2 linked regions of the Styela clava genome follow. Each later gene encodes a partner of the first gene's protein in a complex. Links are inferred from orthologs where the notes say so. Each region holds a gene or a part of one and is shown on either strand. Other genes may lie near its edges.

The links.
Region 2: the proteins of disks large homolog 4-like (region 1) and G-protein-signaling modulator 2-like are in contact, whole or in part, in a crystal structure (PDB 3TVT), measured with the Drosophila melanogaster proteins. The link is inferred for Styela clava from reciprocal best matches to the Drosophila melanogaster genes dlg1 and pins. Residues at the interface, in NP_996406.1 of Drosophila melanogaster: Cys808, Val809, Pro810, Arg814, Arg817, Arg824, Asp825, Tyr826, Ile839, His842, Phe844, Ile845, Glu846, Ala847, Gly848, Gln849, Tyr850, Tyr855, Ser877, Asn879, Arg883; in NP_524999.2 of Drosophila melanogaster: Arg434, Met437, Gln439, Leu440, Asp441, Leu442, Ile443, Lys444, Ile445, Thr446, Pro447.

The regions. Positions count from the first base shown.
Region 1 is NC_135256.1:22,007,388-22,019,582, reverse strand, and holds the start of disks large homolog 4-like, read right to left. Parts: upstream 4,712-12,195; 5' UTR 4,606-4,711; coding exon 4,587-4,605; intron 4,057-4,586; coding exon 3,925-4,056; intron 2,708-3,924; coding exon 2,502-2,707; intron 1-2,501. UniProt on the Drosophila melanogaster protein: During embryonic development, some isoforms are essential for proper neuronal differentiation and organization. Required for cell polarity; maintenance of apicobasal polarity.
Region 2 is NC_135254.1:1,029,423-1,041,135, reverse strand, and holds the start of G-protein-signaling modulator 2-like, read left to right. Parts: upstream 1-6,674; 5' UTR 6,675-6,895; coding exon 6,896-7,019; intron 7,020-7,485; coding exon 7,486-7,597; intron 7,598-10,169; coding exon 10,170-10,305; intron 10,306-11,280; coding exon 11,281-11,426; intron 11,427-11,713. Other genes in the region: uncharacterized protein LOC144422991, read right to left, coding at 328-386, 590-659.

The sequences.
Region 1 (12,195 bases):
TTTTTGCTCCACTTTTTACAGTTCGTCGGACCGGACTCTTGATCATAAATGACACGATGAAAGTTGACATCGTACTATTTTAGTTTTTAGTGGAAAAATCCAAATCAAGACGCGGGCCGCAAAAAAATGGCTGGCGGGCCACGTGTTGGAGACACCTGGCTTAGAGTGTGCTGCCCATCCATAATTTGAACTAGAAGCTGGTTAAATTAGTTATGCATAGAATCAAAATATATCATTATCAGTTGGAACTGAAGATTAATTAAATTAGTGAAATTGTATTTCTACTTCTACAGATTTGTGGAGATGACTCTGATCAGAAATGAGGTTAAAAGAGAAGTAAAAAGCTTACTGGAAAATTTAAAAATAGCAATTGATTATGAAATATCAAGACTGGACATTTTTGTTTCATATGATTTCTCAGTGGTTAGATTCACTTTGAAATTCTTCTTTCTGTTACAACTCTTTGGAGATATTTTAGCCTGGTCCGATATATGTAGTTTCACAAATATACAGGCCTATATTATCAAACATATACATATTATATATCTTAATATTAAAATTACCGTAAGTCTATATTAATATCATAAATGAGGTTCCAACTCCAATCCTCAAACTATCACGAACACATCAAATACACTATGAAATCAGACAAATATATCAACCTTTTGTCTTCCATAGAAGTAATGGGATAACTGAATATAGATGTAAAACACAAAGTGAAGAAACACCCAAACATATTTGTCTTCTGTCACTGTATGAAGTGATGAAATGTAGGGACTTTTTTATATTATTAAACCCAACTCCCAAAAGTGTGCAACAGTGAAACAACAGAAATTAAGATGGAAAAAATGGCAAATGAATATTTAAAAACAAGTTGCTGTTATCTACAGTGCCAATATAATATTTTTACAGCAAAAAAAAAAACAAAAGAATATTTGGGTGTATTGATAAATCCGAAGCCCAAAAAATGAATAAATTACTCATTTTTTTTACAATTCAGGATTAAGGTAAGATTTAGAATTATTAAACCTATGAAGTGATCAAAAAATAAGCCCAGTAGTACTAAAGCCATTCAATGTCAAGTGTTGTTTTGAATAAGGATGCCTTTGACATATTTCCATTATATTCTAATGGAATATTATACTTTCTTGCGAAATAAAATACCCTTGGCAGTAACTATAAATTAGAAAAGTGGCCAAGATTGAAAAAATATTTCTAAGAATTGAAAACATTCCAGGAGAAAAGATATTTTTGCACACAACAACCAGGCTATAATGGGGATAAATTATTCAACAGTCTGCAACAGGCACCTGTCAAAAGCAACCTGGCACTGTCAGTCCTCTGCCAATCTAATCCCCATTGACACTGCATAGTAAATGGATGTAAAAAGCTTTGGCAAATACCGCAACAATATTATAAGACAAGAAGACTCATCAAAAAAATGCAAATTCCAATTAGCAAGAAAAAAAGATTCAAAGAATCTTAAAATATGATAGCAAATTTGTTTTTCTTCCATTGGGTGAGTGTATTTCATGTTTCAAAGAACTGAAATTTCAATAAAAAATCATCTTGAACATATCAATCTTAGGAATAATGCCGTCCTTTTAATGTCAAAGCATGTCTTCTTACCCAGTGGGAATTCCTAATACAACATAAGTGAGTGGCAGATACAGGTATTTGTGTCATTTGTGTCAAGCTGTCAATGCACTGCATAGCTCAATCAGTTATTCTGTGTTGCATGAGTTTGACAACTGAATTCACTATAGATAGGAAGTTATAAAAAATGTTCATGATGAAGTCATTTTAGCCAACTTGTTACTAAAGAGTTGCAAAACTGCGCAGGTCTTACACGAAGTCTGCATTTTCCCTTATATCCATATTTAGAAACAAGCCTGCACAATGAGTGCAATTAACTGCTGCAGTTTCATGTTTGTATATAATTTTTAGAATCCTGAAGGGTTACAGATGGTATTTGGCACTGTACCACGGATATGAATTTGGAATTCTGTGCAATTCAGCTAGTTATATGAAGCAATAAATAAATAGGCTTACAAGTATAAAGTTTTATCCAATATTGATATTCTGGGATTCTGATTTGGCAAATTTTAATATAGAATATTCTAAATGGCTTTTCTTCTAAAAACAATAAATTTCACAAAAAACAGTCATTTGATTACGCAAATCTTGAACATGATTTCTCTTTGAATAATAGAAATTTTAACTGTTTTTTAGACTCATTTCATTTGAATTCTTCAGACATCTTTACACAAGATATTCAAAAAAGCATATTTGCATAATTACATTTAAAAAATAAAATATAAAATTTATTTCTAAGCCTTTTTTTAGCTGAAGAAATAACCTATTTCAAACAAATATAGCGAATATCGGGACATGAAAACAAAGACTAAACAATAATCTATAAAAAAATTACTAAATGCTCAAATCTCCCATTTTGAATTTATATACACAAGAAGGTATAGGAGGCCATAGCAGCTACTCACATGTTCCATTGTAAGGGCACTGGTACTGAGCTGATATTCTCTCCGAACATGATCACGGTTTGTTCTGAATTCTTCTGTTGGTAAATTTCCATCTTCCTTGACTCCACTAATAGAGCCGTAGTTGTTTGAAGCAGGTTGCTGATGATAGTATTGCTCCAAATGTTTTGAAGACTCTTTTATAGTCAGTTCATAATATTCGTGAATATCTGAACAAAATATAATAAGGTAATATTCACACCTTTTCAGATGAAACAAACTGTGTCATCCCATCCTAAACAGCACCCCTACATGTAGGCCTATAATCACCAAAATTTATATTTTTTCATACTTTAGGTAAAAAAATGTAGTTTCCCTCATTGAACCATACTTACAAATCATAAACCCAAGGTTTGATGAACAAAAGTGCAGTTAAAAAATTGTTAAAATTGTTCTCATGTCTAACCAGTTGAGTGAACTATACCCTCAAGGATGATAGCATAGATAGAGCACAAGTAAAACAAACAAAGTGTGAATCGACTGCTGACAAAACTGTGATAGCCACATAAGATAATTCATTACAACTCATGGAGGCTCAATCTACATACTTGACTAAATGTGGCATCCATTTAAAAAACATCTATCCCTTCTTCAATAAACTTACTATCTCAGTGATAGTCGATGTGATAAGATAATATCAGTTTTATATTAAGTATGAACTTAATATAAAAAGTAGGTAGGAAACCTAGTTTAAAACAAAACGCATTTCAATTTTTTAAATATTCCATCAATGAATCTGAACAAATAATCATGAGTGGAAGTTGTTAAATAGATGTTAAAAAATCATTGCAAACCAAACAAAATAAATTCAGCACATCTAGTATATTGACAAAACTATGGTAGATCAATTCAAAAAAAAATTTTGAGTAAATCATGTATTCTGATATTATTGTAGCTTTCAAGTCTTGTTATGATTAATCAATCACTATTGTGGATATTTGACTCAGATATGGTGGTGCCATTAGTCAGGGATCACTTATCCATCCCCTCAACATGGTTGTAACTAGGTAAGCAATGCCAGTTATGTTTCACAACACACACCCCTCTCAAGTAGCCGGTTTAGCACAGCTTTGTTAGAAACAAACATGTGAAACCTTTCATGGAAATTATACATAGTAAGACAAACAAGTAAAAGCATCACAATATATTATAAAATGATAAAAACATTGAGCAGTGATAAAAAATAATGAGATCCAAAATTTGAATTTATGACAGTCAAGCTCCAAAATCTTTGAAAAAAAAAATGAAATGACTTTTTTTCTTAGATCATGCATGTTCAAATTGACTAATATGTTGTAAAAGAACAGTTGAATATAAAAAAATTTAATGATATTCAAGCACTAAAACAGAATTTTAATTTGGTAAAATGGTCAAATATATTACATACCTAAGAGAGCGTAAAATAAATCACTTCTAAAAATATCCATGACTTTTTCAAGTGCATCTCTTAGCTGACTATCATCAGGTTTGTTCAGTTTTAAATGATATTGCTTCAGAAGGGCAAGAGCACGGTCAGCATCTAAAAACATTTAGAAAAAAATTGATTGGTAATAAAATAAATCGTGAGCACCTTTGAAAAGCTAATATTCTCAGAAAATCTTAATTTTTAAGTTCTTAGCAGTTCACTATAGAATAAACCAGTGGTTCTTTAAACTTTTTAAGTCCTTTCAGAATTTGTCTAGTCTCGCGCCCAACCTCAAAATAACTAGCTAACAATAGGCTACAAATAACAGATAGTAGGAGGAAAGTATGTTTTGTTAAAAACAAAACATTGAAAATATGTGAATGGAATGTAAATAATGGAATGAATGTAAAGTTTTTAAAACAAACAGGGGCAAGCAAGATCAAATCTAACAAATATTTTTTATTTTTAATTAGCTTCACGCTCCCCAAGAAATTGTCTATGCCCACGTTGTTTGAGAACCACTGGAATTAACTATAAGACTGTATGAGCATAAAGATAGTATTCTAACACATGGCTGGTCAGGTCTCCAAGACATAATGAATCTGACTGAATTGTGGTCCATAGAACCATACAAATATCTTTACCTTGCTTTCTTACAGGCATCTTCAACTTCAGTCACGTCCCGAATATAGTAATATCATAGAAACATAAAATGGGAGGTACATTACTCCGTGTGGGTTCTGTAACTGAAATTTCAAAAATACCCTGAAAATTTGATATCAATGAAAGAAGGAAACATTGGACCACAAAAATTCAGGACATATGAAACAGCGAAATGCAATAACATAATCATATCCAATTTAAAGACTCTAGTACAATGAGTCGAACACTGGTCACTTTTTCAATGACATGAGTTATCTAAATCAGTGATAACCAAAACTCTTTTCAAGTGATCTGAATTTTTCAAAAAAATAAAAAAAAAAGTTTGTTGAATCTTGAAAGAAAAAGTTTGTTGAATCTTGCAACCCAAAGATATGTTTAGATACCAAACGACAAGTGGTGCATCTATGCCTACAATTGAAATTACCAATATGAAAAAACATTAGTATTGGTTTCTTATCACAAATTTTTGAAATTGTACGTCTGTACGTGGATTTCTTAGGCAAAATAGATTTAAGCTTTTAGTTCATGATACTTCCCACATACAGACATATATACACTTAAGACTACTATTGAGCAACACTTCAATATGTACAGACTTGGTCCAAAATAAACAATTCAATTCACTACAAAGATAAAATCAATAACTGTATCGCCTTTGTTAAAAACTAAGCGACCCCAAAATTTCCAAGTGACCCAGCTTTGGGATGCGACCTAAGCACTGATCTAAATGAAGGTATTTCAGGTTACTCAAACTTACTGAACACCACCAGCGAAACTTGAATTGACTCAAAAATATTCTGGTGAAATAAGATTATCCCATGACAGCATGAATTTATGTGATATGGGAAAACCGAATATTCAATAGCTTGTTGCGCCAATAACAAGAGATTGTTTAGTGTTGATGCCTAGGTAAATATTATCGATTTAATTCTATTCGATTTACAAAATAATGCTGGTCTAACACTCTGACACTAGACAGGAACTTTAAGTTTTCCTTTATCCATTTCACTGTTGTTTATAAAATATACTGACTCGAAAATGCAAGGGGTCTGGTATAGTTTAGTACCACATCCACTTCTAGTTGGCCTGGCTCAACAATTTTTGCATATGTCAATCCTAACCCCCACATGACTACGTCAGCGAAAAATTACGTCATTCCGACGTCACAGTGGCGTAATAAGGCCCACCGAAGTATGCGGATGGTCGTCCAAAACGCGCAGACGATAACCCGAAATCGAGCAAGCTATTTCTCTCGTTTTCTCGTCGCAACGATCGCGATAAGAGAGAGACTTTAGCAAGTTCTTATCGGCGGCGCAGATGCCATTTCGGGCAATCGTAATCATACTTTGGCAATCCCTATGACGTAATTTTGTGACGTAATTTTTGGATGGCATAGTCAGGTGAGGGTTAGGAATAACATATGCATAAATCGTTATGCTACGCCCACTGGAAGTACTTGTGGTAATAAACTATACTAGACCCAATGCAAGAATGAGATTGCAGGATTAGGACCCCTGTACTCCTGCACTTGCAACTTGAGGCTTAGGGACTTTATATCAGACACTGAAAAATATTTGATCGGATTTTGGACTACATGAAAAAGATACAAAATCTATTAGTACAGATTTATCAATTATAACAACATTCAGACTTTAGGTTCCAAAACCTATTTTCTGTATTTAATAGATTGACTGAGCATCTGACCATTTTGTCCATCAATTATAGAGGCATCACACAGCTAGCGAGCATTTTTGAACTCGGCTCTTTGAACCACGTACTACAGCTCTAATACCTACGGTATACTTGGCAGCGGGATAAAACAAACCACGATTATATCTCACACTTCGCGTAATACGCGAATTTTAAATACAATACTCAACATGGCGAATCAAGACGGTGATATATGTCACTGCACAATATTATATTCGTAATTTGGGTATTAAATCTGTAAATACTAAAATTGAATCGTGAAGAAAACAGAAGGCCATACATCTCTACTGAAACGAACAAGCCGCCGTTTGTGTCTTTTTACATGGGTTACCGTACTGCTGAATTGCGAAGTTTCTGGGAATAAAACACATCCTATCTTTATCGAGCATGAAGTTTCGGACGAATATAATAATTGAAATATCAGTGGGCGAATTAACTTCACTGGAAGTCGTTTAGAGGTCGATGCGAATTTTGTAATCGGTGTTATCCTCAATATCTGTATGTGCTTTTTCTACTCCCATAAATTTCCTTTAGCACCGTTTTCATGAAAACTAATGGAATCAAATTCGTTTTATTACTTTTATCACTGGTCAGTGGCAAATTCCATTAATAAGGCCTAAGAAAAAAAAAACGACATTTGTGACGTCATTGATGACACCGATTTACATCGGCTTCATAAGAACTTGCTAATTGTTAACGTTGGTGTATTATGCTCGCTGGCTGAACGCCAAAGCGGGACTTTTGACTGACCGGTCGGGACGCCGGGACAAGACGTTAAAAAGTGGGACTGTGGGACCAATGACATTAAACAACATGATGCGCAACTCCGGCATTTTTGGCCGAAGATCGTATCCAATAGCACGCTCCAATGCACATACTTGACGAGACGAAAACGAGCGGATGTGTGCTGTTTTCAAGGTATAGCACAAATGGTGTTCGTGCCTGCTTTGACAGTTGTTATCAATTTTAATGATATTTTGGAAAGTTGAGGTAAAAAGAAATCGGAAAAAGGTAAGGTGAATACTATTGTTGTATATCACACCCGGGCATCGCACTGTTAAGTACATCTGGAAAAGCCAGCTTTTGTCAAATACTACGAAGTTATTAATTCAGCACGATACGTAGTTGCCCATTTGCCGAAATTGCATGTTTACCTAACCTTTATGGTTTCAAATAGTTCATGCACCTCCATTTAGATTTTTTTAATCAGTGAGGATATATACTCATTGCTGTAACATACTATTGCTCATTCACTTTTATTTGCGTATTGAATCAAAAGGTTAACAAGTTCACCTAACATTTCACTCATACCGGTCTATATTGTATAGTCTGATCTCTCAAGTATTTGGAGCCACGAATGCTTGTAATTTTCTGACTAAACCCCTTTATAGAGGACTTGCACGGGTCACGTGACCTTGTTACTGGACGGCAATAAAACAAAAACGTCCATTTGGCTCCTGTCAGTTGCAAGTCGGATTATACGTTTCCGTTTTGTTTGGCTGTTGAAAATGGTTATTTCGTATTGTTCCGCTGGCTGTACGTATAGTATAGACAACGAAATGGAACTTCAGCTATATTCCACTGTTTTCAAAAGATCCGGAACGTCGCGCAATGTGGATATCATCTATTGGCAGGACTGCTTGGTGTCAAGTCCAGAAGCCATCTTACTCGTGTTTCACTGTTTGCGGACAGCACTTCGTTGATGGTGAGTCATGATGTGCCGTTATCAATTTTTTTAAATATTCATAAGCTCCCTCATTTCAATGGAAAGCAGATGACAAACTATTGTTATTGGTAGGCTTAGGCCTACTTGCAGACTTGACTCGTGTAAGGTATTAATCAATAATTGCCATAAGGTATTGTTTCCCTAGTTAGCAGGTAATCTATTAGTAATTGTGAAAATTTGAATAGATAACTAAAGTTTAATGCCAGTGCTAATGCAAAAAATAACCAGAATTCAATTGAATTTTCCATCTGAGAATACGCTCGCCACCGCATCTCTGATCCCCATGGGCAGATGGGAGTTTCACAGGTTCCAATCCCATGCGGGGATAGTTATGTGCGAGGGGACGAGGAGATTGCAGCTCCTCCCACTGAGGGTGGTTCATACGACCGCTGGGCGATTACGACATACCCCACCATCAAGTCCATGCTTCTAAAACAAATAACTGACTAACTAATCCCGACATAGAATGGTAATCGTACGATGTTGCACCTTGCAATCTGTCCCCAACCACAGATAAATTCTATCCTAAAAACTACCCACATTGGTAGGCATAGTTGCGTTTTAAATTGAAAGAAATCTTCATTAATGGTCAGAAGGTGTTGTCTGATTATTTTGGTAGTTAGCAGGTAATTTATTACTGATCTGATACACAAACTTGGCACTGTCAAATGATGATTAGTGTTTAATTTATTTTCAGGAAAAGGGAAGATAACCCATTATCAGCTGCTTACATGTTCCATCGATATTTGAATTTTCGCCATCCCCAGAGAAGAAGAGAATAGTTCGAAAAAGGAGGATTTTGAAGAAAGGAAAAAGGCAGGACCATTTCAACAAATTCTGTTAACTTGTATGCGTTGCAATATTAATTCGCAGTTGTTAGCATAAACATTTAATGTGTCTTTCGACTAGACCTACCACACTTAAAAAAAAACGCCCACACCCCTTTTCACTAGAACCATAATACTGTAAAATATTTGATAGAAATTACCCCCGAGGCATCATATCTTTCATTTGAAAGGGCTGTGGAGGCAGATACATTTTTTACTCTAAATTATGGAATGTTACTTCCAGGTTATCTTATCCTTGCTTATAGATATCTTGAGGTTAGTGACTCCAACTGACCCATGCATGCCACACTGAAAATTCTCTTGTGTACCCATAAAATAAGGCTGTTGGAGCCTTCAGACCTTGAAAACAGTCGAATCTGAGCACGATGGATTCATGTGAAACACATAATATGCATTTAGAGGCAAAAATATCCCATCCTGAGCAGCACCGATCCACAACATCCTGCCTATGGAATCAAAACATTAGACAAATTGGTGTACTGTGCGCATTCACAAATTTTTGCGAATCAAGTGTGCCTTTTGACTAAAGAAATTGTTTTTTGAAAATACATTTTTGATGTGCTTTATTTTTCAAATATAATTTATAATTACTGTAAAGTGTGTGATACATTTGGTACCATGAATACTATTTGCAAATTAGCTTGGGTTACACCCCTCTCAAATAAAAGTTTAGACTCTTAAGTCGTATCTCATAATATTCTTTAAACAAAAGGTTGCGGCTAGCTGGCTACCCATCAGAATTTCCTTTCAGATCACAAAAGTCGCAATATTACGCCTCGCTTAAGTTTCATTGGCAACTGTATCTGGTTGTAGTATCGGTGTCCATCGTTAGACTGAAACCTTCACGACCAGACCCACCGAAACAATTTTTTTTTCTTGATAGGGTCGTCTTGAAGTTGATTTCGTTAAAGCACAATGGACACTTTATCTCCACCAATCCACAGTAATGACAAGTTACTTTTTCATTACGATAAGCATCAATAAATGGATACTGAGGATGTATTATCAAGTCACGCAAGCTGAGGTCTTGTGCCACTGTGGTCTTGTTGCAACTTATACTTTGCCATCCATCTATTCCATGGTCGCACCCATATCTGTAAGATAATGGATACAGATAAGAGTTTTCATAAAATCTAACGATCAAGGAGTGTGAAATTTAGGGCTGGGCATTTCGATTTCAGAATCGAATCGAATAATTTTTTCGAATCGAATCTCGAATACTTGAAAATATAAAATTGTAAGCGACTTTATCATAGTAATTGGTCCTCTCAACAAATGAATTACTGAAGACATAGAATAAATCACTCAGATAGATTACTGAGCGTTCACACAGAATAACAAACACGTTTTATCAATAACTCACTACAGAAAATAGTCATATGTTAGAATTTCGTTGAAAAAATATGACTTCAATGAAAAAAAAATTGGGGAATTCACCTCGACCATTAGCGGAAAGATAAAAACAAGATGGCGGCGATTCGAAATTCCAGTCTGAACCGATTCGAATAATTTACTATTCGATTCGAATGGAAATGCCCAGCCCGGGTAAAATTTATGTCCATATCCCACCACAGCCACTAGTCGTAAATGAATTTGATTCCGGGTAGCATATCTTTTTTACCAATGACAATAAAAAGACATTTTGATACAGTTGTACAAGCACCATTAGGATAGGATTTATCTGGGGGGGGGGGGGGGGGAGCCAGTTATTTGTTTTCAGAAGCATGGACTTGGATGGTGGGGAATGGTCGTAACCGATCAGCGGCCATGTGAACCACCCTCGGTGGGAGTGGAGCTGCAATCCTCTGGCACATAGCTATCCCCGCATGGGATTGAAACCTGTGAAACTACCAGGGTGATCAGAGATGCGGTGGCGAGCGTATTCCTAGATGGCGAATTAAATTGAATTCTGGTTATTTTTTGCATGACCAGTGGTGTTAAACTTTAGTTATCTATTCAACCTTTCACACCTAGTAATAGATTACCTGCTAATCAGGAAACAATACCTTCTGTCAGACCTTACAGCAGTACAGCAATTGATTATTAATTCCTTACTGTCTTACACAAGTCAAGTCTGCAACTGCAAGTAGGCCCACGCCTAGGCCTACTGATAACAGTAGTTTGTCATCTGCTTTCCATTGAAATGAGGGAGCTTGTGAATATTTAAAGAAATTGATAACGGCACACTATCACCACATTATCACTCACCATCAACGAAGTGCTGTCCGCAAACAGTGAAACACAAGTAAGATGGCTTCTGGACTTGACACCAAGCAGTTCTGCCAATAGGCAATAGATGATATCCACATTGCGCGACGTTCAGGATTTTTTGAAATCAGTGGAATATTACTGAAGATCCATTTCGTCCATGTCTATACTATACGTACAGCCAACAGAACAACGAAATAACCATTTTCAACAACCAAACAAAACGCAAACGTATAATCCGACTTGCAACTGACAGGAGCCAAATGGACGTTTTTGTTTTATTGCCGTCCAGTAACAATGTCACGTGACCCGTGCAAGTCCTCTATATTAGTTGGTTTATATACCAAATTCAGTAAAACATTTTTTACATAAAACATGAGATATTGGATTTATTAGCTTTTCCATTCTAAATCATATAGACATTATTTATTTATTCCTAACGAAAATTAATAAATCTTCTCTCTTTCTTCAGATGTGAAAGTTGTGGACAAACCTGGGTAAGCATTGTGAGACTCCTGCAGCACAAGAGGCAATAGCAAAAATAGTTAGAGTACTCCATAAATGTTTGCAATAGAAGAACAACCAATGGAGGCATGCAAAGACATTTGATGTCAAACTCGCGGCCCCATAGACCTTCCAGTGCGGCCCTCGAACGATTAACAATAATTGTAATAGTATTTTGGAAGTTTTTTTTTATCTAAATGTAATAGATTTTTCAAACCTTTTAAAGTGAAATTGATTATTCACACAGAAAACAAATTACTGAAATTAGTTTTGAAAAATTATTTTTTTTGTTCACATTTTGACCCAATTAGGAATACACATCAGGCTAGCAAAAGAATACTTGAATAAAACACTTGAGTGATTAAATTAAACGCAAAGTACAAGAAGAAGGTGGCATTTTCGAAAAAATTGGGAGTTGCAATATTTCTGAATTTCGCAAAATTCTGGAGATATTGTTTATTTTGTCATATTTCCATCAGTACAATGAAAAAACACAATAAGCTCAGCAGTCAATATGACAAATTCGAAGAGCAACTTCGAACAGAAAATTTCCATGTGTTGGTATATTAATATAATTATACAACGACTTAGTTA
Region 2 (11,713 bases), on another chromosome or scaffold:
TGCAAAAGTCGGATCCGCCAATCTCAACGATTTGGGGTTTAAATATTGAGAAAAAATTATAACTTGTTTGAACTGATGGCCCGGTGCTTTGAGCGTCGAATCTAATAGCTTGTTCCAAGCCTCAAAGACAGTTTTAGGAATGCAAGATGAAAATTTCAGGTCCAAATATATACGCCCAGTACATGATGTAAAATTAGACAGGCGATGCGTGGAACAAAGATTTAAGACCTCTAGAAAATAGTAGTTTTATATATAGCTGTCAAGTCAAAGCCTTGCTTGGCGACAAAGTGTGTAAACACCGGGTAAGAAATAGAAACTCAATTTTACCTTGCAATCTCCAACTTGAACGAGTTTCCCATTCACGATCTTGGAAACGCAGGCTCCAGCTGTCAAAAAAATAGGAAATTGAATATAACGACATTTTGTGTCTAGAATTATAGGCGTCGTGACTGGTTTAGAGAGATATCTTCCTCACATAATTAAAGAATCTGTTATATTTTAGAATCCTTGTTACCAGAAGCAGGGGGGGGGGGGGGGGGGGAGGGGGGTGCACAAATTATCATGTATTTGTATCTGAAACAGATATTACCCGGTATTTTTAGCTTCGCACGCAAGCCACAGATGAGAGAGATGAACGAAATAATTTTGACGAAGTCCATGTTCGCTTCTAGAAAGGTTTAATGAGGCAACTAAAAACTTAGCTACAAAGTAGATATCTGTAAAAATATTTAAGGTTACTGTAGATTTAATACCGGCATAATTAGCTCTTCTTAATTGGCATTTTCAAAGTAAGTCGTGAGAAAAAATGCAGTAATAATAAAACTAGAATACTGGTTAGAAACCGAAGGCTTATCGATCGAAGGTTAGGGGATCCCCAAAACAGTGGTCTTACACCATAGTGACACCGTGTGTCCCATTACTAATCAATTAATAACTCGCTAATTACAAGACATTATCCATCCAAAATCAATGGGCTTCTGATCCGAGCTATGATGATTGCACATGCAAAATTTGGAGCAGATTCAACCTCGCTTCCGTGAGATATCGCGTGTATCTAACAGACAAATAAACAAACAAGCAAACAAACAAACAGACAAATACCTATCAACATACTTACCGATCTTAAGATCGATAAGTAATAATATTAGAGGCTATACGACAGTTGAGGCGTCACTCAAAAAATTTAAAGTCAATTAGAGCTTGATTTTAAATGGCTCTTAAATTTGAATGACCCTGCTTGACTTACGCACGATCTAACGAACTAACCTGAACGAACCACAAATATCACACATACATTGCCATTCCGACGACTATGAGCTGCTATGGCAATTTTTCACTAAAACTCCTTTACAGAACAACCACCAGGTCACCTATTCCTTTCACTATTTATTTTATAATTTCCAGTCGTCGTACCTCGAGCTGTCAATGTGATACAAGACATCGAGCGATCTATATTTACGCACTTTCTCGCTCTTCTACGCAAAACGCCCTTCTTCATGCATCAGCTATTTACGTCCCTTCCCTTTCCCATATCGAAATTTTTCGCGAACGAAAATTTTGACTGAGTCATCCATTGTGATTGCGAAAGAAAAATCCAGTTTGCGTTATCGTCTTGCATTTTATCGGAATTTTATCGGAAATCGGAATTCCCTTTTTAGCGTGATTTCTCAGTGCTCTTGCGTAATTCGCTACAATATTCAGCATAAAAGGGGTTTATGGTCCCTCCAAAACATCAAAACTGAGTAACCATCCAGTTTAACCCCACACAAATGAAATGTATCCTTATAACGGCCGCCAATTAAACTTCTAGATGTTAAGTAATGTTCATAGGTCTCATAAATTTAAATTCGAAGTATTTGTAATGTTTTAAAACAATCTATCGAAGAGCTGTGTTCTGGGCAAAGATGTGTTGCTTCTCACGAATGCTCATTGCGAAAAGAATTCTTAAATCAATCAATTTTAAATAACCTTTGACCCGAGAAAATTCATCGAGCGCCGTAAGTTACCTGTTTCAGTAAATTTCGACGATCCAGTCCTGAACAGAGTGTAGGGTTTACATATTTATCCCGGGGGAGAGGAAAGAAATAAGACGACTTAACCATATGGCGAACCACGGACTCTTGTCAGGACTATCCGTTGAGCCGAAAATATTGTTCGAGTTTATTTTTTAAGTCTATTTTGACTCCATACCGGCGGTAGTCAGCATAATAGACGATAAAAGAATTGGTGGAAATAAACTAAAACTGATCACAGAATTTGCATGTGGGATTAAATACGGAAAAATTAAATACATACTGTAGCAGTCAGCTAGTAGAAACACATAGGATAATAATTCAGGTGTCAAGTTTGGCTCTCATCCGGACGCTGAGTAAAAACTAAATTAAATTTTAATCTTGACTCAACGGGTCTCGTGTAGTTTCGTACCTAACGTACTTCTAGTAGGCGTAGCATAACAATCATTTGACATGCCAATCCTAACCCTCACCTGACTACGCCATCCAAAAATTACGTCACTACGACGTCACAATCACGTCATAGAGGTTGCCAAATACTCGTACGATCGCCCGAAATGGCATCGACGCCGACGATAAAGAACTGACTAACGTCAGCGATCTCTCTCCTATCGGGATCGTTGCGACTAGAAAACGAGAGAAATGGCTGTTCGATTTCGGGTTCTCGTCTGCGCGTCTTGGTTGATAGTTCGCATAGTTTGAAGGACACTATCACTGTGACGTCGTAGTGCTGTAGTGACATAATTTTTGGATGGTGTGGTCAGGTGGGGGTTAGGATTGGCATGTCAAAAAATTGTTATGCTACGCCTACTAGAAGTACGTTAGGTAGGAAAGTACATGAGACCCGACTCAACTATTGGATATTCTGATATTTGAAATCTGTTTAGTGGTTGTTTTGGGGTCTGGTATAGTTTGGTCCCACGTGCACTTCTAGTTGGCGTGGCTCGACAATTTTTTGCATATGTCAATTCCAACCCTTACCTGACTACGTCACCGAAAAATTATGTCATTTCGACGTCACAGTGGCGTACTAAGGCCCACCATAGTATGCTGATTGTCGTCCAAAACACGCAGACGATCACCCGAAATCGAGCAGGATATTTCTCTCGTTTTCTCTTCAACGATCACAATAGGAGAGATATCGACGCCGTTAACGAGTTTGTTATAAGCGGAGCAGATGCCAGTTCGGGCGATCGTAATTATACTTTGGCAAGCCCTATGACGTGATGGTGTCATCTTAGTGACGTAATTTTTAGATGGCATAGTCAGGTGGGGGTTAGGAATAGCATATGCAAAATTCGTTATGCTACGCTCACCGGAAGTACTTGTGGTACTAAACTATACTAGACCCTTGTTTTGTACCGTATTTCGCCCACTTGGGTTGGAAGTTTCTAGTCTAAGCATAGATCGAAATATCTGTTTTTCACTGATTCATTACCAATTGCTATATTTAAACTGCATGAGGGGAGCTCTGATGGTCTTATCGCTCTCCCCAGTCTATACTATGGATGTACCAATGTATCGGTATCGGCAACATCGGCCAATTTTTCGGTATCGGTAGTGTATCGGTATCGGCTAAATGAAGACCAATATTTCCGATATGTTTACCTTTTTGATATGATTCAGAATAAGTTGGAATACTCATGTTTAAATTATTTTTTGTTTGGGGGAATTGTGAACTATGAGTCATACACGTCCCCACCCCAGCGAGAAGAAACGAGAATGGGATTCTGACCTGTTCTAAGTTATTTATCAGCCAAACGCTCAACTAATTTGGCTATTTTTACTGCCAAATTTTTATAGTGACGTTTTCAATATCACATAGTAATTATGAATAGTAGCCTATATCAATCGAATATTAGTGGATTTTCTAAAGTGTAAAATACAAAATATGTCGTTTTATTGGAACAAAATCTTGCGCACGTAACTCAATGTATCAATTTGATAGGATAAGTAGGCTAAACATTTATTTATTCCACTTTCCTGGTAGCAAAACCTTATGAGCAGGGATGGCCATACCCATCGACTATTTCGAATACATTCTAAAAATATTCTCGATACTGAAATTCCTAATACATTGTAAAATCCAGGGACATATACATCAGTCTTTGATAATGTTATCATTGTAAAGCAGTCAATAGGCATGTGTGATATAAATGAAATTGCTCTAAGAAAGTAGACTTAATAGGCATTAATAATAAGAGTAACTAGGAGCCCAGTTTTAAATCATAGTGTATAAACGTCTTTATTAACAGCATACGCACTTTTTGGCACGGTCATAAATTCTGACTGTTTATTGTTAAGCGCTAGTGTCATTTAGTCCATCCACATCTTTAAGTTAAATTCCGACTCAATTATCTTTCTACACAGGTATTAAATATTTGATATCATTAGTATTAACTATACAATTTCCTCGTATATTTATTGCCGTGGTCGCCAGGACTATCTTGAAATATACGATAATATTTGCGATATATTATGAAGTAATAAAATCAGAAACATCCTCGACGGGTTATAGGTATTTCTATCCGGCGCTGATTGAAATCCTCTTAATCCGGCTGTAATTTATTGTCGCAACGCACGATTACGATAAAACATAGAATGAAATATATTTGAAATGTTTTCACTTAAAACGTGGACGGCGGCGCTACGACGTGTGGGCAATAATCGATATTCTTATAATGCGATATTCGAAGGTCGCGTTATCAATATTAACTTCGAATTGGACATCCCTGCTTAAGAGTTTTCTAATTGAACACCGAGATTACTAGCTTCAGTACACAATGCATCTAAATTAATTAACGCATCTGAATCCCAAACATCAATTTCTTATGATGTATTATATATATTTTTTTCAATCTGAAATAATGTGTAGTATGAATAATGCTCAACGACTAGTGTTGCACACGCAAGGCAATATTTACATTGTATCGGAATATCTGCAATATCGGCCGCTTCGTAATATCAGTGTATCGGTATCGGCGACAAAAGTGGTATCTGTATTTCTCTAGTCTATACCAAGCAACTTTTCGTATGTTATTGTATATTTTTATTATTGTTACAATGCTCGTTTTTTCTGGTTGACGAAAAATATATCTCTTCAGTGGGTTCGATTTGAACTAAAAGCATGTTTCAAGAATTTTTTTCTGCGCCATACAGACTCTTTTAAAATCAAACAAATTTCTGTTTGGCGTTATTCAAGCAGTTTTGGGGTTTACTTCGCAAGACCCGGGACAGGCTGGTGAAAGCCTGTTTTATCCACATTTTGATGGACTTCTTTTAATTTTTACGTTTATCCATGTGCTCATGCTGAGAGTTATCTGAATACAGGAATACAAAAATAAGCTATTACTATTACAGTATCGCTCAGTTCTTCCGATTCCAAGAATATAACCCCCACATTATGAGATAACAATGAATGCAAACCCCTCCTTCAGCAGTCGCTGTGCAATAAATTAAAAGAAAACGCAGTCTAAAAATGTCACCATTGAATTCCTTCGGGAAAAAAAAATTCTGTAGCATTCGAGAGATTTTAGCAAAATATATTTGACAGAACAACTTTTGGTTACAACACCATTGACTCTTGTCACGATTGCACGACATACATGGTGCAATCTTAGAAATATGCCGTTGTGGAAGAAAAAGAGATCTTGTTTTATGTATCCAAATAATAAGACATCTTTAATAAGACTGAGAACCACTAAATGTCTATTTTATTTGGCTTGCAGTGTTGCAAATCGTGCCAAGCGTTAGGGATACGCTCGCCACGCCTCTGATTACTTGTGTGAGTTCACGGGTTCAAATCCCATATCGGGATAGTTATGTGACTCCTCGCCATCGTAGGTTACAACTTCCGTCACCATCAAGTCCATGCTCCCCAAAACAAGTAATACCATACGCCATACCGCACATGAACTGGTAACCAGACGAGATGCCGTGGTTTGCCATATGATTAATCGTATCATCAGCTTTCTTCTCCCCCGAGATAGGTGTGCCTAGATAAGTTAAGGGAATATCCGGTTATCACCCCGCCACTAAATTTTCTATCTTTTTTTTTATTTCCTATCATTAATTCTTTTTTGGGAGAAATATTACTTGTATTTAGTGTAGTTTTAATTATATTGATTAGTTAATATGCAAATTTCACAATACTACCATTACAAATTCTAGCTGACTTTAGTCTGCATTTTGAAAATTTTTCAATTGCTTTGTTCTGAATGTTGACTTAATGCCACACTGAATAGCTTGGTGTTCTTGGTTGTAGCCCACGGCCGCCGGTTTCACGCTCCGGTTCTTGTGGTCAAATTTGGTACTCATATAGTATGTGAACAAGATGGCGGATAGCAGAACGTAGTATGTGTACCTGGTTGGAGTCGGGCCATAATTTCATGTACAAATACTACAGGAGTCACTTGGCTAGTCCCTGAACTCATAATAGAACTAAAATTGGGATAAAATTATGGCCTAACCCTAACCTGGTACACATAGTACGTTCCGGTGTCTGCCATCTTGGTTCACATACTATGGGAGCGCCCTAAATTTACCTTTGGAATTTTTTTGAAGAGATAAAGGAGAGAAAAACATGTAAGCTCAGGTAAACAGAATCAAAGTTGTCTGGGCCTGTTGACCGTGTATTATTATGTACCATTCTAATCTTTCAGGTTTAAATTAATCAAGCTGAAAAATTGATATGTAATATTAATCTGGTTGAATTTCAATCAATATCGCTCATATTTGATGATTAAAATTGCATTGTAACACGGTTGGTTGGCTTCGTCGTTGTCCATTGAACATAACCTAGGTAAGGCTGATGATGATTATATAACGAGTGACGTTACTCAACTGTATTACTCTGGAATAAACTGACTGATTTATTTACCACGATGGCGGGAATACGCGAAAGAAGCGTTTGTGTCGAGCTCGCAATGGAGGGAGAACGACTTTGTAAATCTGGCGACTGTCGAGCTGGAGTGCAATATTTTGAAGAGGCTGTGAGACAAGGCACAGGTGAGGGATTTTATTGGAACTTATGGATTGCTTTCAAAATTGTTTTTTTAATGTTAGCGGTTTGTCCATAGGAAACGGGATATTTGGTTTTGTAACTTCATCTATGGTTTTTCTAGCAGTGTTGAGTTGTCATTTCCTAGTTATGTTCAACTACTATCCACTGGCATGTCTTTCATGATGATAAACCTAAGCTTAGAGTAATAGTGTTAGCTTGCAATTCATCTATCAGTACTCTTTCTACTTTTAGTTGAGGGATCAGGACCTTGCTTTGAGCAAACTTGCAACTCTTCTATCAGTACAATTTCGACTTTCAGTTGAGGGCTCAGGACCTTGATTTGTGCAAACTAACCGTATATACTCGCAGATAGGTCGCAATTTTTTCCTTATATTTAAAAAATATATAGGTGCGACCAATCCTCTTTCTACTCTTAGTTGAAGGCTTAAACATTGCTCCCTCATTTTACAGAGGACCTAAAGACACTCAGCGCAATCTACAGTCAGCTGGGCAACGCATATTTTTATCTGCAAGAATATCATAAAGCGATGGAATATCATAACCATGACAGAACCTTGGCGCGGTGAGACATCTTTTGGTACTCCTTTAGTATGTAAACCAAGATAGCGGACACCGGAACGTAGTATGTGTACCCTCTTAGGGTTAGGCCCTAACTTCAGGTACAAATACCACAGGAGTCACTTGGCCTAGCCCCAAACTCGTAATAGAACTAAAATAGGGAAAATCAAAATAAAATTATGGCCTAATCCTAACTTGGTACACATACTCAGGTGTCCGCCATCTTGGTTCACATACTACGAGAGTGTCCATCTTTTACCTTTCGTTCAATTAGCTAAATTGCTGTTATTGTGTAAATCACTTTGTATGCTACTAATGGATTTTGGAAACCTAAAAAAACATTTTTATGAATATATTTTTTTATCGTTCATTTTGTTTTCTATCATTTATCTACTAGTAACAATCAAGGCTATGCGGTCAAGAAGTATTTATTATCGACTAATGGGTGAAAGTATTTCACCCAAAACTGCTGGATTCCAAGCTTAAACCTTGGTTAGACGAAGTGATACAGGAATATGTTTATGTTATTGTGCAGAAAGACTCTTGAACTAATGACAATCCTATTCAGTTTGAAAAATTTATCATTTTTTCATATAATATGATAACTTGAAAACTAGTTAGCGATCGGAGACTGCCGACTTATCAATCTGCGATTTCGACTTCTTCGCTCTGACTCAATAGCGACACCACGTGTCCCATCACTAATTGATTAATAACTCGCTAATTATACGACATAATTCATCCAAAATTAATAGGCTTCTGGTCCGAGATATGATGAATGCACATGCAAAATATTCGGAGCATATTGAACCTCGCTTTTGTGAGATATTGCAGAACATACGAAAGTGTCTAACAGACAAATACCCATCAACATACTTACCGATGGAAATCGATAACTAATATGCAGGGTTTCTGAATTTTTTGGTATTATGGAGCCCGTGAAAAGGTTGACTATTCTTTATCGAGCCCCACAATAAATTTATAAAAATAAAAAACACATTATTACTCAATGATTAATGTTACTGAGTGAACTTAAATCACTTTATTTAATGACTCGGATGTATTTGCTCCTTCGTATCTTAAAAATATTTATTATTTCCAATATTTCCAATAAGTAAACGAGTAGTTCCCAGAGCCCCTAGGTTTACTAATGAATCCTTGGAGATCCTCTTCGAGCACTTCAAGACCAATTGCGTCGAATGTTATTAAAGATATTGATTTGTAAACCTGATTGATTTTGAATTACATTTTGCTCATTTATGCTAATGATTATGGTGCTTAAGGATCACCTTTAAACCCTTTTTGATGAGAGCAATATTGGATAAGCAGAGTGTTAAGATTAAAAATTAAATCGACATGTTATTGCTTGTATCTGTGGTACGTGATTATATTGACGAAGCGCAGCTTAAATACTCTTGATATATTGTGAGAAAGGATTTGTTTGAATTAGTCTGGCAGGGTAAGAGCATCTGTAGTAAGAAGGGAATAAATCAGGCGGTTGAGAATATTAATACATGCACAACTGGTGCAAACAAACACAAAACAACAAAATTAATGTTAAAGATATAGACCAGGGTGGTCCAAATTCAGGCCAGCGGGCCACATGTGGCCCGCCACTTCATCATCTGTGGCCCGCGTCGCATTCGGAGAGGAATCAAAAAATAGCATTTCGTGTTGTTTCGTCATAAAATCAACCAAAAAATCTTTTGACATATTGTTGCATCACTAATGTTACTGAATTGACTAGTGTTATGGCTGGCTGAGGCAACTAGCGAAGTTAAACGAGCGAAATTCTTGGCACTATTGTGACCCGCGAACAATGCAAAAGTAATTTTGTGGCCCGCGGAGCTGCCAATCTTGGACCACCCTGATATAGACCCTAGAAACGATCGCTAAACCAGGGTGGGCAAAATTTTTTAGTATAAGAGCCATATGCGACAAGTCAGAAATATGTGAGAGCCGCATAATTTTTGAAAATTAATGATATTAGATTACCGTGAACTGAGATGAGCTTTACACAAACGTTTAATAACAATATTGCAGAGTATATATGGCAATGCCATATCAGAAGTAGTTTACTTGTGTGTTCTCATCCTGTCTGAAAGTTTTTAAGAGTCTTTGTGATATGCGCCAACGCAGCAACAAACATTGATCATTGTGATGTAAGATTTGTTGTTTGACTGATTCGAATTCCACGCTGCGATTTTCATACTAAATCATAATTTATCTTAATCATTGATGAAAACTTTTCGACCGCTCAATGAATTTAAAAAAACTGTTTCGCTACGGTTTCTCTTAATTAATTTTATTAAATTTGGATGATAAATAATGCTAACGAGAAGAGCCGCATAAAAAGTCCGACGAGTCGCAGTTTGCCCATCGTTGCGCTAAACTATATCAAATAATGGGTATAACCTAAAATCACACCTTTTTAAGGAATGCTGGAACAAAATATATTTGAGAAGTTGCGACTCTGATTGGGGATTTTGAAAATACGACTCTTTATACTCTACTGCCCCCTAGTGTATTCTATCTTTATCCAAATGTTAAATTTAATTATATTTCTTTCTACTTAGAACTACCGGAGATAAAATAGGTGAAGCAAAAGCAAGCGGAAATCTGGCTAACACTCTCAAAATGCTCGGAAAATTTGAAGAAGCTGTCGCTTGCTGTGACCGACATCTTGAGATATCAAGAGAATTGAAAGACAAGGTAAAACATTTACTGTATTTTGCGAATTCATCCAAATGGATTGTTATTATGAAAACAATGACTAGATTAGGTTTTGCTTCTTAAGGCGCAACAGTGTAGGCAATAAAGCATTATCTATCCCAGGCATTAGGCTCCATGCAAATATGTCATGTCATATTTGCAGAAATAAACTATTTTATTTTCTATCATCTTTTAGTCTAGGTTTCAAAGATTACTGGTTTAGTTTTAAATAGATCTTAGGCATACAAGGCGCACAATCAATTTTTGAGAAATTTTTTTCATCCAAGTTCACAAATGTCGTTACGTTAAATACCGGTATCGTTAATAATCAACTTTGCCGAAGCAAGGGAGACTCATCTCAAGGTTACGGGTAACTACCGCAAATACCAGGAGCAACTGAAACCATAAAACGAGAATATCGGTTAGAGACCGATGACTTATCGATCGAAAGTTAGGGGATACCCCAAAACAGCGCTCTTACTCCATAGTGACACCTTGTGTCCAATCACTAATTAATTAATAACTCGCTAATTATACGACACAATTCAACCAAAATCAATAGGCTTCTGGTACGACATATGATGAATGCACTTGCAAAATTTGGAGCATATTCAATCTCGCTTTCGGGAGATATCACGTTCATCTAACAAACAGACAGACAGACAAATACATATCAACATACTTACAAATACATATCAACATACTTACAAATACATATCAACATACTTACCGATTAAAATCGATAAGTAATAAAGTTTCGGAGGTGGCAATCTGTGATTGATAATTGCAATAATTGATTAACACTAAACTGAGACCACAAGAAAATATTCTAAATTTCATTTTTTGCAGGCGGGGGTTGATATCTAAGCGAAATTACTTCCAATCACTGAAATGCCAAAGAGCTGCTGTTATTAATTGACTGACACCGGACTGGAGCCGCAATCAAATACTTATAGATTTTAATTTATGTTCCAGGTGGGGGAAGCTCGTGCTCTTTACAACCTGGGCAATGTTTATCACGTTCAAGGGAAACAAGGTCTGAACAGCAGAGCGATCGATCGTCCCCCCCAACACCCGGAAGAAGCCGTAGGGTTAATGAGAAAAGCAATAAAGTATTATGAGTAAGTGGTGTTTTATTTTACGGTACGGTACCGGTACAATATAGTGAGTTAAGATAAGATTTACATATTTATCCCGGGGGAGAGGAAAGACGGCTTAACCATATGACGATCCACGGCCTCTCGTCCGGTTACCATTCCATGTCAGGTATGGGATTAGATTTACTGTATTGTTTGTTTTCGGAAGCATGGACTTGATGGTGGAGGAAGTCGTTACCGACCAGCGGTTACGTGAACCACCCAACGACGACGAGGAGTCCAGCAATCCTATCGCACATAACCAACCCGCA